Drosophila melanogaster: one gene and its partners. The protein of the gene in region 3 interacts with the protein of the main gene of each other region in a pairwise test. Each region holds a gene or a part of one and is shown on either strand. Other genes may lie near its edges. The genes, in order: EMC5, Pex3, Syt12 and ninaD.

Region 1 (3,938 bases), on a different chromosome or scaffold from region 3:
TGCGTTGTAACCTTAGAGGGGTTTTTTTTTTTAATAGCAGACCGTTGTTTTGGCATTGTTTGCTACCACTGCGATTCCATTGCCCTGCCGGAATGTTCCCAGACCCTCGGAGAAGTGGGAGTTCTTCCCTACAAGGAGTGCGCTACCGAGCTGACGTGTGCCATGTCCATTGGTAAGTGAACCTAAATGTGATTTGTAATTGTTTCTAAATCGACGGATAGTCGGCCATTTTATAGAATCTATTTTTGCAATTCATTAATATTTCAAAGGTAAAGACCATTGATATTGATTGATACATATTTGAAATATTTAGTAACTCCGATTTTCTATACCATTAATCGCACACAAATTAGTGGACTCCATTACATACCGCGGCTGCGGAGCAGAAACCCCCATCATCGGAGCGACTTACTCAAAGACTTGCTCAACGAACCTGTGCAATGCGGGTGTCTATCCGCCGGGACGACTTAAGTGCCATCATTGCGCTGGACAGGAATGCGTGGCAGCTCCAGCATCCAAACCAAAACCCTGTCGCTATCATTTGGAAGAGGATCAGTGCTACACGGATGTCATAAGTTCTTCAGATGCCTACAGAGGTTGTACCTCCGAGCAGAATCACACGCTGTCCACTTCCGCCCAACTGTGTGAGATCAATGGCTGCAATGAGGAGCAAGGAGCTTGGACCCAAGTCTGCGCCACCTGCGATTCAGCAATCGGCCGGGGTTGCAAGATAGATCTCTTTCAGGTCAACACCGGCAGGTGCAATGTTAGCTTATACGAGGAATGCCAGCAGGATGTTCTGTTGGGTGAGCAAGAGGATAAGTACTGCTTCAGCTTTCGCAGACTAAGCCGCGTTGTCAGAGGATGTTCTACTAAAATTCCAACAGATTTGGAGCCGTATGTAGAGCAATTAGAAAAGTGTAATACCAGTGACCACTGCAACGCAGGATGCATTACGCAGCAGAAGTGTTTTACATGCAACTCCGTGGATCAGGAACTTTGCCGGACAAATATTACGGCTATAGCTAATAGCACTTGTAGCTCCGCTGAGGCCTCTTCCTGTTTCTCCTGTGAGTACTCCAACTGGAGTATTCAGCGAGGCTGTGGAGCACCGCCGGAAAATCCTCAAATCACCAAGTGCTATGAATGCGATGAAGGCGCTGGGTGTAATAGTAAGGATTTCACCCGGTGCTACCAATGCAGCACGGATCAAGCGGGAGCAGGCTGTGCAAATTGGGAAAGTCCTGGCGAAATCTACATTGAAGAATGCGATGAACCGGCTGCACCATGTGTGGTTGTTTCCTTTAACAACGCCACCACTGCGAGAGGTTGCCAAAAATCGGACTTCAGCTGTGCTTCCGCAAATGTGGCCAGTTGTCGACTATGCGAAGGAAGTTTCTGCAACAAAGGATCATTTCCGGAGGAGCGCCTCTGGTGTCATCAGTGTAGGGGAGTGCAGGACTGCGAGGAGATCTCCAGGGGACAAACGGCTATGCCTTGTCCGGCTCGAGCAAATGAGCCGGAGGATCAAGAATTGGCCTGCTTGGAGTACTTTGACATCAACAGTAAAGAAATTGTAAGAGGATGTCGTTCCAATCCCGAGCTATACTACGAATGTCTCTTAAGGAGTAACCACTTCGACAGTTGTCGCACTTGTCACAGTCAGGCATGCAATAATAGTCCTGGCCGGGAATTAAGAGCCAGCTATGAGCTGGAGGCCAAGGCATTGTCCTTGTTGCAAGGCAAGAGTTCCGCAATATCCATCAAATTTTCGAATGCAGGTTACGGAGTTTGGTTGATCTTTAGCGTTATCTATATTGTAACTTGCTGAGACTATAAATAAAAGGATAGCAGAACTTAAAAGAAAGGTCTCTTATTCCGGGGGCGTATATCCAGGATTTAAGGCACGACCACGGTGATTGAAGGAATAGAACGAGGGGAAGTTGCCCAAGGTGTCCCAAGTTTTCTGTTGCATGTCCACGGTGGCGCGAATTTCCTTGAAGTTGCCAACGATCTCGATGATGTTGTAAATCACAATCACCAAACTGATGACGGTCTGCAGGATAATCTAAGGATTGATAAAGGAAAACTTTTCGTGAGTAACCATGCAAGCACCCTAAATGCACCGAAACCTACGTCCAATGGAAGGCTATTCCATTCCTGCTCCGTCAGCCTCAAATAGGTGCGATCTGTGGAGTAAATGCGGCACTTAGTGGTCCAAAGTTTATTTACCACAACAGTGACGAAAACTTACGATGGGCAGCAGAAAAAGCAGCATGTGCCAGGCTGGCAAATCCGGCAATTAGCAAGAGTTTGTTAAACAGTTTACTGCCCATTTTTATTGAACAATTACGAATTACAATCACAGTCGGTACAATTTTCTACAAAATTTTGCTAAATTGCTATCAAAATGCGGGCACACCTAGGGCTGGGAGCTTTGGACGATAGTTTAGGGTTGTCTGTATACCTCATATGCCGTAATATATTTAAGAATCTTAAATTTAAATATTTTATTGGGAACAACATTAAAATTATACAAAGATTGATTTTGTGATCAAACTAATTATATAATTATATTATAACTATATAAACATACAATAAATATTCGGTTACATATTTTGCTTAAGAAAGTTAAAAACTTTCGTAAAATTTGAAACCGTCTGTTCATCAGCTAGCTTTAAATAATGATTATATACATTATTAGTAACAGAATGAATTAAAAAAATTGTAAGGTATATATATTGCCTCGAAATTCAGCTGACTTTGGTATTTGTCAGCACACGGTCACTCGAAAAATGCCGCCGCGCCCGCTGGTATATTTGAACGCTCGTGTCACGGTCGCACTTTCATTCGTCTCTCAGCGTTCAGAAGATTCGGTAGTCGCGGCGGTCGAAGCGGAACACCAGTTGTCCAATAAGAAAGCCAATTTGCAGCAAAAAAAAAAAAAAAGACCGGCAATTCAAACGCACCTTGCAACTGTTTTTTCAAAGCCAAAAAAGGACTCAGGGCCACTCCCCACGACAAAAGCTTACGTGCAACGAGTCCGTGTGTGTTTTCCTGGCGCATCGCCGCATTTGTGTGTGTATCCGGACATCTCTTTTACGGTCCTTTTTGCGTGGGTGTGCCAAAAGGAAGAGAGAGTGAGAAGGCAGCAGAAAAGGGCAGAAAGGGAAATTCCAGCACACTAAAAAGCGAGTCAACAAGGAGCGACACAATGTCCGTTTCCTCGAACGCCTCATCCGCCTCCAACAAGGACAGCGTGGACAGCCCCAGCAGCACCACCAACACGGACAGCTCCGAGCTGACGCACATCCTCAATCGGCGCCAGGAGATCATGGAGTCCCAGGAGGCGGGCATCGAGGTGCGTCGCACCTACAAAGTGGTCAACGTCTACACCGACTTCCCCGAGTTCTCCCGTAACCAGATCAAGGACTACCAGAAGACCTTCAATACGTAAGTGAAGGCCGCCGAGCAATATTTACTTTTGTCCAGAGCCACTTTAAGGCGCAATATAAATTATATTAATATGGCGAAAAGGAAGCCAACATTTTGTTTATTGTTTTTGAAAACACCTGAGCAAAATCCGTTGCAATAATAATAGTTTATGATAAGTAACGATCATCTCTAGATTATTAAATAAATACAGTGTACTAGACACACTTGTATACATTACAAACGTTTGTAAATGTATATCTATTACACAAGATAATTCAAAAACAGAAATCAGTTTGCAAAACTATTTTAGGGCTTTCAATTTGCGCCAACCTTTACACTCCTTTCACCTGCAACGGCCACTTTCCCAGGCATCTCACCGCATTTGCGTCTCATTAAATGGCAACATAAAACTCATGCGCCTAATGATCATTTAAATTGCATTTACTGCAGCCCCTCCTGCAGCCAACCCACCCCTCCCCTGCCCCCCTGGGCAATGGGGCATG
Region 2 (5,739 bases), on a different chromosome or scaffold from region 3:
TTAATCAATATATTTTGTGGTCGGCTAGTAAAAAGTTGATGGGCTAAGTGGGCTTTTAGCCCCATCGACTGGTTAATAAACATTTTGCAAGTGCACTTACACAATTGAGCCGCCGTTGTTGTTGTTTGTTTGTTTGACGGTGGGCTTTCCTCCTTTAGCTGGCTTTTCCAATTTGTGTACTTTTTGCAGTATTTCTCATATTTGCACACTCGGTTTTAACTTGGCTTCGAATCAGTTATTCAATGCATTTCTTTCATTTTTGTATATTTAATTATTTTTTTTACACCAACACATACGCAAAGTCTCGCAGGGATGTATAAAAGTAACTGTTGTCCTTTGCCTTTTCACGTAACTTTTGCAACTGCGCCCAAAATGGAAATTTTGTACCAGACAGCTGGGCACCCGAAGGAGTAAGAGAGACGGATGTGAAGAGAGAGTCCTGCGAGAGCGAACAAGTCGCAGAGGGGCGAGCGTGATGTAAATGTATCTAATTACTTTCACCTCCTTAAGCATAAACTTGGTTCAATTTATGAAATCTTTTAAGTTACTTTCTGCTTGATAGTTATTCATAATTGTTATATTATAATGAATCTTCGCACATGCGGCATTTCTGCGCAAGTGCTTGAAGAGAGTGAACAAGGGAGAGAGCGGCAAGAACAAGAGAAATGGCAAACAAACAAAAGCCACAGACACAGCTGTCTTATCACAGGGCGGTTTTCTGCCACCCCCTTTTGACTGATAGCAAAGACAACCGTTACTTGTGGGTTGTGTCTTCGATAATTCAATTCTTATATTTTTATACATATTAAGCATTTATAACAAGAGAGAATGCTATAGTCGAGTTCCCCGATTATCAGATAACCGTTGCTCCGTTACTAAATTAATATATTATGTACATTTAAAACCGCAAACTGTTAGAAACTTGGAGGAAAAAGTATATAAGAATCTCGTATATCTCCGACATAATTATTGAATTTATTTCTTATTAATTCAATACAAGTATGCACCTATGTACGCATGTATAATTTATCATTCTATAAATCAATATCTGTTTTAATTAGCTGTAAGAATAAAAAGAATAAGTTCCTTCAAAAACTTTAATATGCAAAATAATAGTCTTTAAATACGGGGAATGCATAGTTTATTAGGTTGCCATTTGTTTACACTTCCTTTAAGATTAAGACCCAAGCTTTCTAGCATGGTATAAATAAATAATCTGTCACTTATCATTCTATTAATCAATTACACTTTAAATTACATTTTCATATAGTTTGGATACTAAACTACCCTCAGGTCCATCCTATATGATTCTCTCATATGTTGCATTTCCTAACTTTCCATTTAGATTAAAAGGCCTTCACGTTACTCGATTTGTGTCCCTGCCCTGAAAGGATTCCCCGTGGACGAAGCTAAACCTAATACGGGTTGGGTTCAAGCAGACATACAAACAATGCTTCTGAGAATACAGATCTTATTAAAAATATACAAGTATATAAACTATAATTTTCCAATTGTCTTAGCCTAGCCTATGCACGGATGCATAATCCAAGTTTTGTTGATCCTCTAAGCGGAGCTAAAGCTTTCGTAGACGTTGGCCCCCAGCGTCTTTGTCTTCTCGGCGACCACGTAGAAGGTTAGCAGTTGGGTGGGCAGATTGTGGGGTCGCGAAGTGGTATCGAAGCCTCTCGAGGTGAGACCACTGATGATAGGAATGAGCTTTGCCAACGCCAACAGCACTCGGTTGATGTTCAGCAAGTTATTGTTCTCCAGACCGTTTTGGCTCTTCGAGGTGCTGGCGCCTAAGCTTCCTGCCTGGTTAAACTTGACGCTCTGTTCTTGCTGCGTTTGGACTTTAGCTTGTGGCAGATGCTGCAAAGTTTCGCCCATGCTTTCGGCGATGGCATCGCAGGCCAGCACAAAACCACGGCTTACATTGTGCGAGCACACGCCAACGGCATCCTCGCTCTCCAACAGATCCAGCGTCTCGTTGACCATCTTTTGCAGCAGCGGCGAATGACTGGGATTCTGGCTGGGCAGCAGATACTTGCTCATTCGCGAGTTGGGATCCCGACGAGTGTCCGCATTGATGGCCATTTGCAGTGACCAAAACAGTTGCTCCAGGTCGCTAAGGGAAAGCTGTTCGGAGAGCGGTATGGTCTTGGTGACTGCGATGACCTGGGTGCGAATGTAACGGGCTAAGTCCCGGATGCCCGAATCCGTGATAAAGTGTCGGATGAGGGAGAGATACTGCTGCTTTAGCTCGTCGGTGACTTGTTTTTGTTCCGTCATGATGTCCCGATAGATGTAGCCACCGAGAAGATTTAGCTGGACCCTCAACGCAATAACCAGCATGGAGGAGGCGTAGACATAGGTTGCCAGTCTTGTGAATGCCACAATTTTCATGTCCTCCCAAAGTTCCAACTTGTTCTTGGGATTCTGGCGCAGCTGCTCGAGCAGCTCGTCCGTGCTGCACTCCCTCAGAACCGCTTGGCACATCTCCTCGCCCATGCCTAGGATCACCTGGTTACACGTCTTCTCCGTCGACTCAAAGTGGGTCGTGCGCCGCGTTCTCTCGAAGAATTCCCTGGCCTGTTTCTCCTGGAACTCCACGAATCGCCGTTGTGCATAACGTGCCGCAAAGATGGTACCGCCCACCAGAACGCCGGTCACTATGAACTTTCGCCGGTGGCGTGACAAGAAGTCCTGCAGGCGCGACAGCATGTTAACGATTGGAAAAGGCCTCTTCTGCCGGATGGACAACTAGAATCCGCTTCCTGTGTGAAATAGGCCAACTGCTGTTCAGATATCCCACTTTTTCCCGCTCCACCGGCGACCTGTTCGAGGTTAATAAATAGTTAATGTGCAAAGTTCACCTGTGTGCGTAGGGTGGTGCGCTGCCGGCGTCGCTGCCAACAGAGGAGCGTCCTCCACTCATCCGCAGCGATTAGATTACCAGGTAGTGCTCACCTATATACCCCTGCTCGGAAACTCGGATCTGGTGCGCCGCCTTATCGGGTCGATTGCTGGCCTTTGGATCGGATCTAGCTCTGGAATGTATGGAATGGATTTATCCTTTGTTGTTGTCGCTAAATGTGTTATTTCTCTGTTTGGTGCCGCATACTGCGTCGTCTGTTTCCGTTCAAGAAAAATCCCAAAAGTGCGAGGTTCGGGAATACCGAAAAATACCATTTCGTTTAGTATATTTGGTGTTACTGTTTAAATTTTTATTGAAAATGGGGATGCTTTTTAGTTATTTATTTTTTCGTTATTTCGAAGTGGGTTCAAAAAAAAATAGAAAATATAAAATAATGTTAATTCACCTATAAATGACGAAAAATAAAAAACTTCGATATGCTCCAATTTCCACCGTTCCGCCATCGTCGCAAACATTTGAAACGCATGATTCAAAGGGTGAAGAAGAAGATAGAAATCATATGGTATTTAAGATAGTTCTGTTGTTGGTGGGGGGTTTAGTTTAGTTGGGGTGTTTGTTATGGCGTCGTCAGATCGAAAGCTCATTGTAGTCTCCGGATTTGGTCCATTTCTCGGTCACGAAGCGGTCAACGCCAGCTGGGAAGCTGTGAAACTGCTGCCGGAAATCCTAACTCACGATGGCATAGAATATGATCTGGAAAAGCGGTTGGTTTCGGTGGAATACGGGGCTGTGGACGAGGCGGTGGCGGAGATTTGGAAACGCCAGCCATATGTAAGCATCGCAATTGAACCATAAATAGATAGAGGCCTTATGATATCATCTTTCTCCCAAAAAAATAAAAAACAAAAAAAAAACAGCTTGTTATCCATGTCGGTGTTTCGGGCGTTGCCAAGTGTGTATACATCGAGAAGCTGGCGTACAATCACAAGTTCCGCCGAGCTGATAATTGTGATAAAAAACTGGCCAACGGCACTTGCGAACTACCCAACAATGGACATGCAAATGTCTTGAAGACCGAATTAGATGTGGATAAGATTGTGGCGGTTGTAAATGAGAATTGCGCCGATTGTGTGGGACCCACACAACAGCCGACACATAATGATAATCTCAAATCCCTGAGCGCCACAAAGGCATCCAAAAATGTGGGTGACTTTCTCTGCGGCTATATCTATCTGAAATCGCTCGATATGGACAGAAAACGAAGCCTGTTTGTCCATGTACCTCCTGTAGATAGGCCATTTAGTAGTGTTAAGACTTCGGAAATACTTTTTAGCATAGTCGAACAATGCATTCAACAGGTGGTCGCTTTTGACTCCTGAATTCCGCAAAATATTCTTCCAATATCTGTCTTTTTAAGAATTATTTACATGTGTGCTGTTAAGTTGTTTAAGAAATGAGTTTTATTCTTTTTAAGATACAATATTTTATATTTACTTTTTATTACAATGAAACAGAGAAGCAATACAACTGCATTAATAATTACACAGTCTTTTTTGCGTTTACACAACACCAGTCTTTATTTTAAAAAGGGTAAATGACATAAAGAGAATGACGTAAGTTATTTAAAATAAAATTTAATAAAAAAAATGAATTAAAAAGAAGAATTATAAGGCCTTTACAAATTGCCTTATGTTAAATACAAGTTAACTTATATACAATACAATACGATACTATTTATATCACAATATTTTAAAATTATGGTATTCGAAAAAACCGTAATATTTAAAAAAAAAATAGTACATTACTGAATTAGTTAAATATAAAAATAAAACTTCAAATATATAAACGAGATCCTAAACTAAAAAAATTTACCTTCGACGATTGCCAACCTTTGGGCACCCAAGCGCCACCTACAGTTCAATGCTCATTCATTGACAAATATCGATATTAGTAAAATTTATCGGAAACTTGTAGAGAAATACCAAAAATCCCTCACCTAATTCAGCTTTATATGTATATATCTCTGCGTTTCACTGTCACTTGAATTCATTTGAATTTCTACTTGCAACCGGGCAAGTTCAGCGCAGTTCGAATCCCAGTTTTGGTTGGCGAGTGTGCTGCACCCACATAGGGCAATAGATTCAATAAATATCAAACGACGACGAGTGCCCGCAATGAAATTCCTGATCTGTGCACTTTTCTTGGCGGCGTCCTACGTGGCCGCTTCCGCCGAGGCGGAGGTCAAAGTTGAGGAGGGTGTTCTGGTGGCGACGGTGGACAACTTCAAGCAGCTGATTGCCGACAACGAGTTCGTGCTGGTCGAGTTCTGTAAGTACATGCTTAGATCGAAAATAAGGCACGAAAATCTCAACAAAATGTGGCAAAAATCGAATATCAAAATGCGAAATGCGCCGGCCGCTAGCGCGCTCTCACTCGCACCCGCTGATTCATGCGGCTTAGCGGCTACGTGGTCTTTCAAAGCGTCGGAGAAAATCTGTCTGCGTGGCAGTTGTTGTTGACTTGAAATCTGGACTATCATGTTGCACGGCAAATCCTAGTTGATCAATGGGCCAACTGACAGACTAGTTCCAATCGGCGGCCTGGAAAATTTGTTTAGTTGATTTTCCAGCAAATTTATCGTTTGTTTAACTGTTTTTATCTCTCTCGCGTCATCTTGTGTTTTTTTTGTGACGGGCAGGGAGGAGCGCGCTCTCTCAAACGCAAGTGCCATCTCTTTTCCGCACCTGTGCACGCAAGCGAGAAGGCCTTATAGCCTTATACTGCAGTACTACTTGTTATTGTTGTCGCCATAAACCTGCTATAATTTTGTATTCTTGCAAATACTAAATGCCAAAGGAAACAAT
Region 3 (5,937 bases):
ATCGCTTTACACTGAGCAATTTGCCTCATCATTGCGATGTGGGTGCGTGTGTGTGTGTGTGTGTGTGTGGGGTTTTCTTTTGGGGGGGCGTGTACAGGTGCTCGTTCTCGTTCTCAATCACAAACTTTGACAGTTTCTCAATTGAATTTGTAACCGAAGACGCAGCATTGCCACTTCAAAGCGGCGGCCACCAGAAGGGGTGACACGCCATGCTCGTAGAAGTGCTGCGGATGTGGAGGAGGTTGGTCCAACGCGACCATTGTCATGGATCATTCCGTTGACAGACCTCCGAATCTCTTTATCATCCACCTTATCATCCGCAAGGGACTGATGCCACGTCAGGCACTCAACGAGCTTAGGTAACTCGGGACTTATGACGGATTACAGTCAAACCTCTTCGCAGTGAACACATAACTGCATTTTTGTCCAAAAATCATTCCCTTGATTTATTGCAAAAAAAAATCAGTTTTTTGTTCAGAACTTTTGAAAGAATGATCCAAATATGGAATATCATACCTCGTTGAACTCGTAATTAAATTCCTAACCGAACTGTATTCAAAAAGGAAAATTCTAATTTTTCGCCATTTTTTGCAAATTTTGATGATGTTACCCCTTACAAAAAATGCGAAAATTTGGCCAAAAAATTATTTTACAAAATCCGTTCAAAAGTGATAGGGATGGTTAGTATTGGTAATAGGGAGCATAAAATGGTAATTCTTTTTGCTGTGAGGGCATTTTTAACCAAGTTATACCCAAAAAACCGATCTTAATTATTTCAATTTTTGGAAAAATGGTTTCCCTGATTTTTTGTAAAAAAACTAATCGGTATTTTAATCAAAACATTGAAAATAATAATCCAAATATGGAATGTCATACCTCGTTGAGTTTGTTTTTTGAATCCCAATCGATTTGCATTCAAGTTTGGGAATTCTAGGATTTTTCAATTTTTTGCAAATTTTGATGATGTTACCCCTTACAAAAAATGCGAAAATTTGGCCAAAAATAAATTTTACTAAATCAGTTAAAAAGTGAAAGGGGTGGTTAGTATTGGTTATAAGGAGTATAAAATGGTACTAATTTTTGCTCTGTGACCATTTTTAGTCAAGTTATAGCCAAAAGAGCCAACTTGAAAATTGAGTTTTTTGCCAAAAATAGTTTCCCAGATTTTTTGTGATAAAATATTCGGTATTTTGATCAAAACATGGGAAATAATGGCCCAAATATGGAATGTCATACCTCGTTGAGTTTGTTTTTTGAATCCCAATCGATTTGCATTTAAGTTTGGGAATTCTAGGATTTTTCAATTTTTCGCAAATTTTAATGATGTTACCCCTTACAAAAAATGCGAAAATTTGGCCAAAAATAAATTTTGCAAAATCCGTTAAAAAGTGATAGGGATGGTTAGTATTGGTAATAGGGAGCATAAAATGGTAATTCTTTTTGCTGTGAGGGCATTTTTAACCAAGTTATACCCAAAAAACCGATCTTAATTATTTCAATTTTTGGAAAAATGGTTTCCCTGATTTTTTGTAAAAAAACTAATCGGTATTTTAATCAAAACATTGAAAATAATAATCCAAATATGGAATGTCATGCCTCGTTGAGTTTGTTTTTTGAATCCCAATCGATTTGCATTCAAATTTGGGAATTCTAGGATTTTTCAATTTTTTGCAAATTTTGATGATGTTACCCCTTACAAAAAATGCGAAAATTTGGCCAAAAAATTATTTTACAAAATCCGTTAAAAAGTGATAGGGATGGTTAGTATTGGTAATAGGGAGCATAAAATGGTAATTCTTTTTGCTGTGAGGGCATTTTTAACCAAGTTATACCCAAAAAACCGATCTTAATTATTTCAATTTTTGGAAAAATGGTTTCCCTGATTTTTTGTAAAAAAACTAATCGGTATTTTAATCAAAACATTGAAAATAATAATCCAAATATGGAATGTCATGCCTCGTTGAGTTTGTTTTTTGAATCCCAATCGATTTGCATTCAAATTTGGGAATTCTAGGATTTTTCAATTTTTTGCAAATTTTGATGATGTTACCCCTTACAAAAAATGCGAAAATTTGGCCAAAAATAAATTTTACAAAATCCGTTAAAAAGTGATAGGAATGGTTAGTATCGGTAATAGGGAGCATAAAATGTTAATTCGTTTTGCTCTATGACCATTTTTAGTGAAGTTATACCCAAAAAACCATTCTTAGATATTGCATTTTTGAAAAATGTAATTATTTTAAAATTTTTTGGAAATTTTTATCCAAAATTTCGAAATTAGTTTCCATAAATCATCCAAAATGTGTTTTTAGTATTGTTAATTAACTTTGTGATTTGGAACTGAATTATCGCATATTTCTTTTAGGGAAGCTGCACTGTATATTGCCAGATCCATTAAGCCTGATTATTTATTTTCTCTACTCTGTACTCATTAATTTGCTCGGAGATGCATCGTATCCAGTTCATTGAGCTGGGAATTAAATCGGTTTAATTATACATACATGCCTTGGGTAAAAGAGCATTACATTAATTTACCAAAGCATAGGGTAGCCTATTAGATACCGTGTAATACGAGAAAGGATTTACTATGTAATTGCTTAAAAGAAACTAGAGTTGCAGCTGTAGCAATGTTAATTTCCATTTTTAACAATATTATTTGATTGCAACTCAATAACAAATTAAAAGGATTTCAGATTTGAGATGCTCTTTAATTAGAGGTGTTCTTAGCTGCGATAAACTTACAAAATAAAACAGAAAATACACAATCTGTTTTATAATCCTCATAAAGCAATGCCCTTCAGAAGGCAGTAAAAAGAGCATTATATTTGGTGAAACTGTCGGTAATTTCAGTCGTAATTGGCCATTAAAATTTGGCTAGTTTAGTAGGGCCAAGTTGGTAGCACAACGCTTGTGGCTTAGAAGAACTTTTAGCCGGGCCAAGAGGCAGCAGCCAGCTGAAGTGCCACTTTTCATTAACCTACTGGGAGGTCATTCCACTGGCTCTTTGCTCTGTCTTTTGTTGCTGCAGGTGCACACAAACACACACACTCACGCAGGCTCCTCCGATAACTGATATATGTATATGTATGTATGCGCATATACCATATATATATGCTATATACACTATATTTGGTTTTGGGCCTGAAAGTGTCGCACCGAATTAGCCAGAGATGACCTCTTTTGGGCCATCAGAAATGGGACAAGCTGTGAAAAGTGAACGCCAGTCACGTTCGGCGAGTGACAACTGTAGCCCTTACCCCATTTTCCATTTCCATCGAAAAAAAAACAAAGAGCAGAAATCAAAAAACTTTTCACTGTGAAATGGAGAGTGAAAAGCGGGCGAAAGTCAAAGTAATCAGAAATGGGAAAGAGCCAGGGAGATGGAGGCTCAAGATAAAAGGCCAAAAATCTAGAGCAACGCACACAGACACACCGAAACGCAGCTCATTTGGATTTTCCTGCATTTTTCCCACTCGCACTTTTACCAAACAAAACAAAACAGAACAGAACGGAACAGAAGAAGAACTAGCAATTGCTTACCTTACTTATCCTTGCTGATCATTTGGCCACATTTAAATGGCAAATATATTAGTTTATCACTCTGATTTAACAATACAAATAATAACAAGTAGTAACGCTGCGGAAAGAGGAAGAGCAGGAAGCGGAAGTGCGGGCGGAAAATTCGCTCATTTTCGTAGACCGTTCGGTGCCAAAACTCGCGGCCAACTGGGGGAAAGCTGGTCAAAACACAGCAACAACTTTGCTCCACTTTCTCTTTGATATGCGTTTTTGCAGCTTTAAGCTTTCGTTTTGAAAACAATGCAAGCTTCGTCCTTTCTAACGAACTTTGCGTCGGCAAAAAAAGGCGAGCTTTTGGGACAAGCTTTGACACAAAGGTTAACTATTGGCGAATGCTATAAATGCACCATAATCTAAGGGCACAGCCAAAACTTCACCTAAATTCTATAAAATTAAAGGAAAACGCCATAAATGCGACTTAGGTTTATCCATAAAACGGTGATGATAAATGATAGAAGCGAGCTTTTTATGGCGAAATTTTCTGCTATTTAAATGTATTTATCTTAAAGAACTTGTACTTTCTAATAATTAACTACCAAATTTATTACAAAACGTTTTAAAAGAATTACTCTTGTTTAAAATGTGCTTAAAAGTATAAAATTAACTAAAAAATATGTTCTTTGGGCATATAATGTTTTTACATACGTAAATAAATTGTAAGAATGCGTAAATCTACTTAGAAAACAAGCGCATCTTAGAATATTAATGTTTTCGAAGTCTGTACTGAATTCATAATATTTTAATAAGAATATACGAATAAGAATAATATGTTCTAGGCGATATTTTCCAGTTCGCTCGTGTCACGACTTCCACCAAAAACACGTGCGGCGCATATCTGTCCTACGAAGGGGCTGAAATCGGCTTGGAAGGCATATAACATATATCGTAACTGTTATACTTTTCCCATTTGGCAATGCCGTTGTACAGCATGCCCATTTCCGGTAACAGCGATACTTCGGCTACTTTCCCCCAACTGTTAGCCACTTCCCCTGCCTGTTGGTCATGGAGTAACTTTTGTGGATCGCAAGCTATAGAACAGTTTGACCTTACTCAATGTTACTGCAATCCCTAATCCTGGAATTTTAACATTTGCCGAATCCGAATCGCTTTAAGCGGATTAAGAAAGCAGGAGAATGAAAAACTAAAAGAATGATAGGTGCGGGTAGGGGAATGGGGGTGCCTTCCGTCACTCCTCTCGGCTTGCAGGGTAAACGGCGGTGGGGTGCAGCGGGGGGGGGGAAGGGGGGTGAGTTCTCGAAAACCTGAATAATAGATAGATACACACACACAAGGGTCGGCCTTTCGGCCGATAATGGCTTTAATTCGTGGTCAATCTAGCGTGACTCCCCAAAGGATGCTCGGCGCGAAATGTTTTTACATCTCTCGCTCTCTCGTTGCCCCGAAGCGCCTAATAAATTTCACATTTTGCAACTTGCCGCATTTTGATTTTGCGGCCATTACGCAATTTTTGGCACTGCCGAAATGCCAAAAAGGCGAAAGGCATATATCCCAATCCCCAGCTGAGCCACGCCGCAATGAAAATGCTGAATACAAGAAAAAAAAAATGAGAAAAAAAACCACTAACGATTAAAAGCACACTCAGTTTGGATAATTTTCACAGAATTATTTCGCAATTCCTCTGACAGCAGCAATCAGCAGATTGTTCGCCAAATCAAATTGCTTTCAATCGACACTTTGGCGAACGATATTTCCACCGGACAAGGGGGCTATAGCCACGATGCTCGATATTCTCGATTGTCGGTCAAATCTTGGTGGGCAGAAAATCAAAAAAAAAAAAAATAAAAAAAAAATACAACACAATAAAATGAAATAAAATGAGAGAAATAAAATAGGAAAAGGAAAACCGCATTTCAGGCTAAAATGAAACAATAAAAACGAGTGCTGGGGTCGCAAAAATGAAAAGGTCTAAATTGCAAATGAAATGCAACCGAATCAAATAAAAAAAATAAATAAATAAAAATAAAAACCAGAAAACAGAAAAACAAAGGGGCATTCCCGAGTTGAAGAGTCAAAGGGAAAGCAAATAAATTGTACAAATTGTGGTAAATTGCGACTAACACAAACAGCAACTATGTTGTGAGTGCCACTGTATAGTATGTATAATAATGCCAAATGCCGAAATGATTTCAAATGCAATTTCAATTGAATTTGCAAACAGGCTTTTCCGAAACCAACCAGACCCCACACAACACCCCACAACCCCCCCGCCCCGAACAGATCGGGCATTACGAAAAAGTTTTAGGCCATACAAATAACGGCAAAGTACCCCCCATTTTCCATTTTCCCATTTTTCCATCGAATGCCTATCAACGAGCCCGTCAATTCATGGCAAAATAT
Region 4 (5,675 bases), on a different chromosome or scaffold from region 3:
TCCGTTGCGCGGGCACTCGCGATTCTTGAGGCAAAAGCACTCAGTGTCCGGCGACAGCTGGCCATTATCGATGGTGAGATTGGTGGACTCGTATCGCCAGACATCAATGCCGTCTATGGTGAGATTTTCCTTTGGAAACAAGTTCAAGTACCGCGCTGCATCTGGTAGGAATATGGTGGTGGGCTGATCCCACGTCCTGTACGGCGACCAGAGTTCCCCCGTGCTGCCATTGACCTTGCCGCATTCGCCGGGATAAAAGCCGGTGGTGTTCTCTCCATTCCACAGGAGCAGATCTCCCAACTGGCTGAGATCCCCACGGCCAGTGTGCAGTGTAAAGTTTCCCTCGGCCGTCTTTGAGTTATTCCTCTCGTAGAACCAGCCAAAGGTGTTGTCGTAAACCGGGAGCAGGGGCGAATGCAGCTGCTCCACGAAGTCAAGCAGATGGTCATAATAGCCATCAAAGAGCCACTGGCCAGCTGTGTGGGTCATATGGGTGGCGCCGCCTTCGCGATTGAGAGTAAAGTTCATGACCTTGCGCAGGATGCGGCGCAATCGGCGCGAGTACAAAGCAGCTGTCTAAAGCGTATAGCGGGATTAGAGGGGATTACTGGATGTGGCGACAGATATTCGGACAGAGATATTCGGTATTCTTAATGTAAGTTTTGCCGTCAAATAGCATAGCACTCAACCTTTAATCAGACTTACCAAAGTAGGAAAGTGTGGGGCTATAACTACATCATCAAGCGATCCATTTGACTTTTCCGGTAGAAAATGCCAGGTACGTTTGCCGAAGTAGGTCACCTGGGGCTGATTCCATTCCAAATCTTCCTTGACCTTAAAGTCACTGAAAGTGTAAGGCCCCAGCTGCTCAAAGTGCGGCTTAACGCCCTCGGTGTTCAAATCCCCCGGATTAGTCCAGTTGAAGAGGAAAACTGTGCTATATACCGGCGTGGGCGTAGTCACCCAGCGATTGTAGATAAAAGAGTTGGGAGCCAGGGGCAAAAGACTTCGAATCCATTGCCGAGATACGGCTGGCCAGGCTGAGGCCAGAAAAATCCCAATTGCCAGGATCAGGCCTCCCATGGAGAAGACCCAGATCTTTTGCTGGCGCACACTGCAGCAACCACAACGCATCGCCTCCGATCGATTTCGATACTGGTACGTCAAGCAATTTAAACGGGGATATTTATAAGCGAGCCCACTTTTGGGATACATTGATGTTCAATAATGGGAATGCAAGATTAGATTTCAAGAGCAAATTAACAGGTGATTTTTTTATTTTTATATTTGTTTTGAATTCTCCACTTGGAACGCTTCTGATAGGCTAATCTCCGAAAGCTTTTTCAAGTGGCTTGTTTTACGGCCTGAGTTAAATGTTATACGAAGTTTTGTGATTATATTTCGTTTCACTCATTAGATAAATCATTAGATGCACTGTAAAAAAGAAAATACAACTGAGATACGAAATCGTTTAAATAGGTATAGGAATCACATAACTATTATACAAATTTGTTGAGTTTTTTAAATCTTAATTTTAATGATTTTATTTAATTTTCTTTTTCTTTTGTGTATATGAATTAATTATAAACTAAAAAAGACACACAGATGATGTTTGAATTTTAATTTTAAAAACAATTAAAAAATGTTCTAAAATAAAACCTTTATTTAAAGAGCCTATTTAAATTTGTGTACAAGCTTCTATAAATTCATTCACTCAATCATTTAAAAAACCACATAGATAAATATAAGCTTTAACTAATTTAATTATTGTAAAATGAAGACAATAGTTATATGAGTTTTTTAAATTTTATTAATTTTTTCAGTTGTTTAGAAGTTTTATATTTTAAAGCTAGAATAAAAAATGTTTAGAGTTATTTATCACATATATGTTTTTTGAATCACATCCGTGTGCTGCTCATTAAAAAAAATGTTAATACTAAATTAAAAGTTTCGTTCGACCACGTTGGCCGGAACTTCCGGTTCATATGGAGTTTCCTCGTTATCCTTGAGAGCCAGTTTGTCCAACTCGGCCTGGCCATACCACTTCCTCTTAATGGTAAGTAAGATGCCAACTGCTATAAGAATGCAGCCCAGGCACAGGAATCCCACTCCAGTATATCTCCCTATAGCCGGTAGATTCAGTGCCAACTAAAAGACAAAATGCATTATTTAAAATAGAAATCAACGTAGTTCAACAAGCTCTAAAACATACCCTAAGTTCTGAGGCGAGGGCTTCGTCGATTTCCGCTCGACTAGCAGTGGTAAAAAGTGGTGCATAGAAGCTGGGCAGGCCCTTCAGTATGCTAGGAAAAAATGTGTTTATCAAGTCATATATATGGTAGGCAACAATTATTGTAAATAATTACTCTATAACGCTGTCTGGCTCTATGTACAAGGTAATCATCACATTGGCATTGACCTTCAACGGCACTCCCATCTTGCGCTCCATGATGATATAAAAGTTATTTTGATCGTAATTCGGATTGTAGCCGCTTATCGTGCTGCCATAACTTTCGTCCGCGTACATAAAATGATCCGCAGAAAGGTACATGGGAACTCCATCGGCACACGGTCCTAGGTCAGTGGCTCCGGTTGCAGGACAATTATCTGGCTGGCGCTCCAAAGGACACCAGCACTTCGCGTTACCATTGATCTGTCCATTGTCGAAGGTATTCGGCGTTATCTCGTACTTCCAACCCGTGATGCCCTGAATTGTTTCGCTCTGTCCGGTGAACTCAAGATTTATGATCCGACAAGTATCCGGAATGAAGATGGTCAAAGCCTTCTCCTTGGGCTCATCGGGCACAAAAAGATCCGTGGTGCTGCCATTGAGACGTCCACATTCTCCATCGTACCATCCCGTGTGATTCTGGCCCTTCCAATACTTAATTTCACCCATCTCCTTGATGTCACCCACTCCGGTGTGTACAGTGAAGGGACCCTCGAAGTCCTTCGATCCGTTACGGTTGAGGAACCAGGCAAAGTGATCCGACTCGATTTTTGGGACCAATGGATTATTCAGGGTCATGGCGTAATGCAAAAATTCGTCGTAGAAACTTTCGAACAGCCATTCAGCTGCCGTGTGGGTCACAAAGAGATGTCCACCATTCGCATTTAGGGCCTCGTTGAACATGAATTTCAGGAAGACGTTGCTATTCCGCATTTGGTTTGAAGCAGCCTGCAAAAAGTGAAAAAGGAAAACTTCTTTTAGACCAAATTGTTTTTTAATAACTGCTTATTTCCTACCAATGAAGGTAAATGTGGGGCGGTAATTAAATCCGTTTGCTTGCCGCCAGAGAGCTCCTCTTCCCAGAACCAAGTTCTTCTGGGGTTAAAGGTAACTGTGCCATTGTCGTGCCACTCAAGATCCATCTTCTTCCTCTCCTCTCGATAAACATAGGGTCCAAGTTGCGCGAAAATAGGTTTTACTCCATTAGCCTGCACATCTGCGGCATTTGTCCAGTTCCAAAGATACATGTAGACATACACCGGAATGGGCAGCTCCTCCCATTTTTCAAAAGTCTTTGAAGTGGGTGTCAACGGCAAGGCCTTTTTAATAAATCGATTAGTACTCCTCCTTAATTTTATTTTTATACACCGCCTCTCACCTTCATAATCCCTGAGTCTATAAAGCCAGGCCAGCATATTATGGCCAGGAGTCCGGAGACCGCGAAAAAGGTTCCCAGGCCGAAGACCCAGGCCTTTTGTTGGGTCACCCCACAGCAGCTGCAGCACATATTGAGAGACGAAACAAAGGCTTTCGAGCGACTGCAAAGTGGAAAAATATCGCTCGAGTTTTTATTCATGCGTCGCTTAGTAGATTATCCACTAGTAAATAAAGCAGCGGCTAATCATCATGTCTACTGTGGTAATCAGCTCGGTTTGGTTTGCTCAACTTATTCTGTGGGGTGATTGGGATCTAAGTGTGTGTTTAGAGTACCAAAAATCCTGATAAATGCAAAACGCTGCACTTAGTTTATTGAGAGTGCTGGCTAATCAGCCAGACTAGCAGTAGTAGCTATTTCATGCTGCCACGTACCAAATACCACTTGGTAACTAAATCAAATTTAACGATACATGGTACAATTTTATTTATAATAGTATATAAAAGTAATTAGGTACATTTTTATTTTAGGAATTAAGTTTCGTTTATCAGTTCTTAAGTTTTTAATAGCATGCCAGAGTGCTTCCTAATTCGCATTATAAATTAACTTGAAGCTAGTTGATTAAACTATTAATACGGTCAACTATTTTTGCCTTGACGCTCGCCCATCTTATCGGTTATATAGCATGTATGCTTAAATTAGTATTTGCAATGCAATTTTTATGGTCAGCCACTATAAAAGATCACTTCCAAAGACGGCAATCTAATCTTCCTTAATGAAATTCGATTAATCCCATTACGCAAAACCATTTTAAACTCATTACCCACCTGGTCTGCCGAAATGTTGGCAGCGTGATTGATCAGTATTTCAACCCTGACTATTGGAAAATTTTGATTAGAGTGGCGTTATCGTTAATATTGGGTGCTTATTAAAAGTGGGACTGCAAACATTCACAAATTAAATGGATGCGTTTGAAGTGTGTTCGCTTAAATTTTACGATTTCAAAGTCCAGCAAGAAGCTCACCATATTATATCAATTATTGTCCATTTTCCTTACTCGAATTCAGTTCAGTAAACTTCCTCCAGCATAGTGGCCAAGTATTAATTAGGCTGCTCCTCGGCTTTTCAGAGTAGCAATAATTGGAATTACTAAGCCACAAATGCAAGACCCACTATTAGTAATTGAATAGATTGCACTGGCTTCTGTTGATTTCCCCATTGCACTTCAATGTACATAATCAGCAGACATTGCAAGATATCAAATACTACGAAATGCCTTCGTAAGCACATTATTAAATATTTAGTGCGCATTCCATACAAACTTTCAATGCTGGAGCCTTTTCAAATACACCGTGCTAAATTCAATAGAATACTCCAAAATACATACATAAACTCTGTTCATATTTAATTGTTAGTTGAGTTATAAATATAATACACATACACACATACAATATATGGATATTGGATTTGCTATATAGGAAAAGTACGACGACTGCAGTTCAGAACATTTCAGCAACATCAGCATTTTTTAGGATCTACAAAAATCGGTTTGACTTGTAGAAATACGCCATTTTTTTCGTTGGTTGAGGTAGCCCTTTCAGTTTAGGCCTCAATGGAGCCCTCGGCTTCCAGTTGGGCCTTGCGACTTGGCTGTAAATAATTGATTGCCTTTCAATAACTATTCAAATATTTGGGCACACCTTTTATTACCTTCGGGTGCATCAGAATAAATGGTAGCTCAGCGCAGAGCTCGCCGCCCAGGGCTCCCAAGAAAAGCTTGACCTTCACAGCATATGAAACAATTATGCCAAAGGCATCCCTCGCATCCTGACTGGCAATACTGAAATAGAATTTTAAATATGCATTTTTCACTTAGTATTAGTATGCGTTTTATGCCATTTTGTAAACACATTTAGCTAAAGAACTGTTAGTCACCGGGAAAATACGATTTTTAAAAAGGTTCCTAACTTTAAAATTTGATTGATTTTATGGTATGATTTTAAGTTGATACTTAATAGAGTATAATATTAATGTTTCATCTGCTAAGCTATGATGTGAATAAATTTTACT

The links.
Region 1: the proteins of Syt12 (region 3) and EMC5 interact in a two-hybrid assay, tested with the Drosophila melanogaster proteins (one large-scale study listed by BioGRID).
Region 2: the proteins of Syt12 (region 3) and Pex3 interact in a two-hybrid assay, tested with the Drosophila melanogaster proteins (one large-scale study listed by BioGRID).
Region 4: the proteins of Syt12 (region 3) and ninaD interact in a two-hybrid assay, tested with the Drosophila melanogaster proteins (one large-scale study listed by BioGRID).

What each region holds. Positions count from the first base shown.
Region 1 is NT_033779.5:18,986,187-18,990,124, reverse strand, and holds EMC5 (ER membrane protein complex subunit 5), read right to left. Parts: upstream 2,419-3,938; 5' UTR 2,337-2,418; coding exon 2,255-2,336; intron 2,190-2,254; coding exon 2,137-2,189; intron 2,069-2,136; coding exon 1,874-2,068; 3' UTR 1,832-1,873; downstream 1-1,831. Other genes in the region: CG15170 (uncharacterized protein), read left to right, coding at 38-172, 354-1,831; Swip-1 (Swiprosin-1), read left to right, coding at 3,215-3,453.
Region 2 is NT_037436.4:15,141,764-15,147,502, reverse strand, and holds Pex3 (peroxin 3), read right to left. Parts: upstream 3,149-5,739; 5' UTR 2,954-3,148; intron 2,835-2,953; 5' UTR 2,722-2,834; coding exon 1,564-2,721; 3' UTR 1,124-1,563; downstream 1-1,123. Other genes in the region: CG32147 (uncharacterized protein), read left to right, coding at 3,494-3,706, 3,793-4,254; Pdi (protein disulfide isomerase), read left to right, coding at 5,050-5,203.
Region 3 is NC_004354.4:13,357,041-13,362,977, reverse strand, and holds the start of Syt12 (synaptotagmin 12), read right to left. Parts: upstream 3,731-5,937; 5' UTR 3,541-3,730; intron 1-3,540.
Region 4 is NT_033779.5:18,079,727-18,085,401, reverse strand, and holds ninaD (neither inactivation nor afterpotential D), read right to left. Parts: upstream 3,775-5,675; 5' UTR 3,738-3,774; coding exon 3,609-3,737; intron 3,550-3,608; coding exon 3,247-3,549; intron 3,179-3,246; coding exon 2,367-3,178; coding exon of another isoform or gene 2,363-2,366; exon of another isoform or gene 2,306-2,362; intron 2,304-2,305; coding exon 2,213-2,303; intron 2,149-2,212; coding exon 1,942-2,148; 3' UTR 1,794-1,941; downstream 1-1,793. Other genes in the region: CG31741 (uncharacterized protein), read right to left, coding at 1-576, 706-1,134; Arr1 (arrestin 1), read right to left, coding at 5,208-5,255, 5,316-5,445.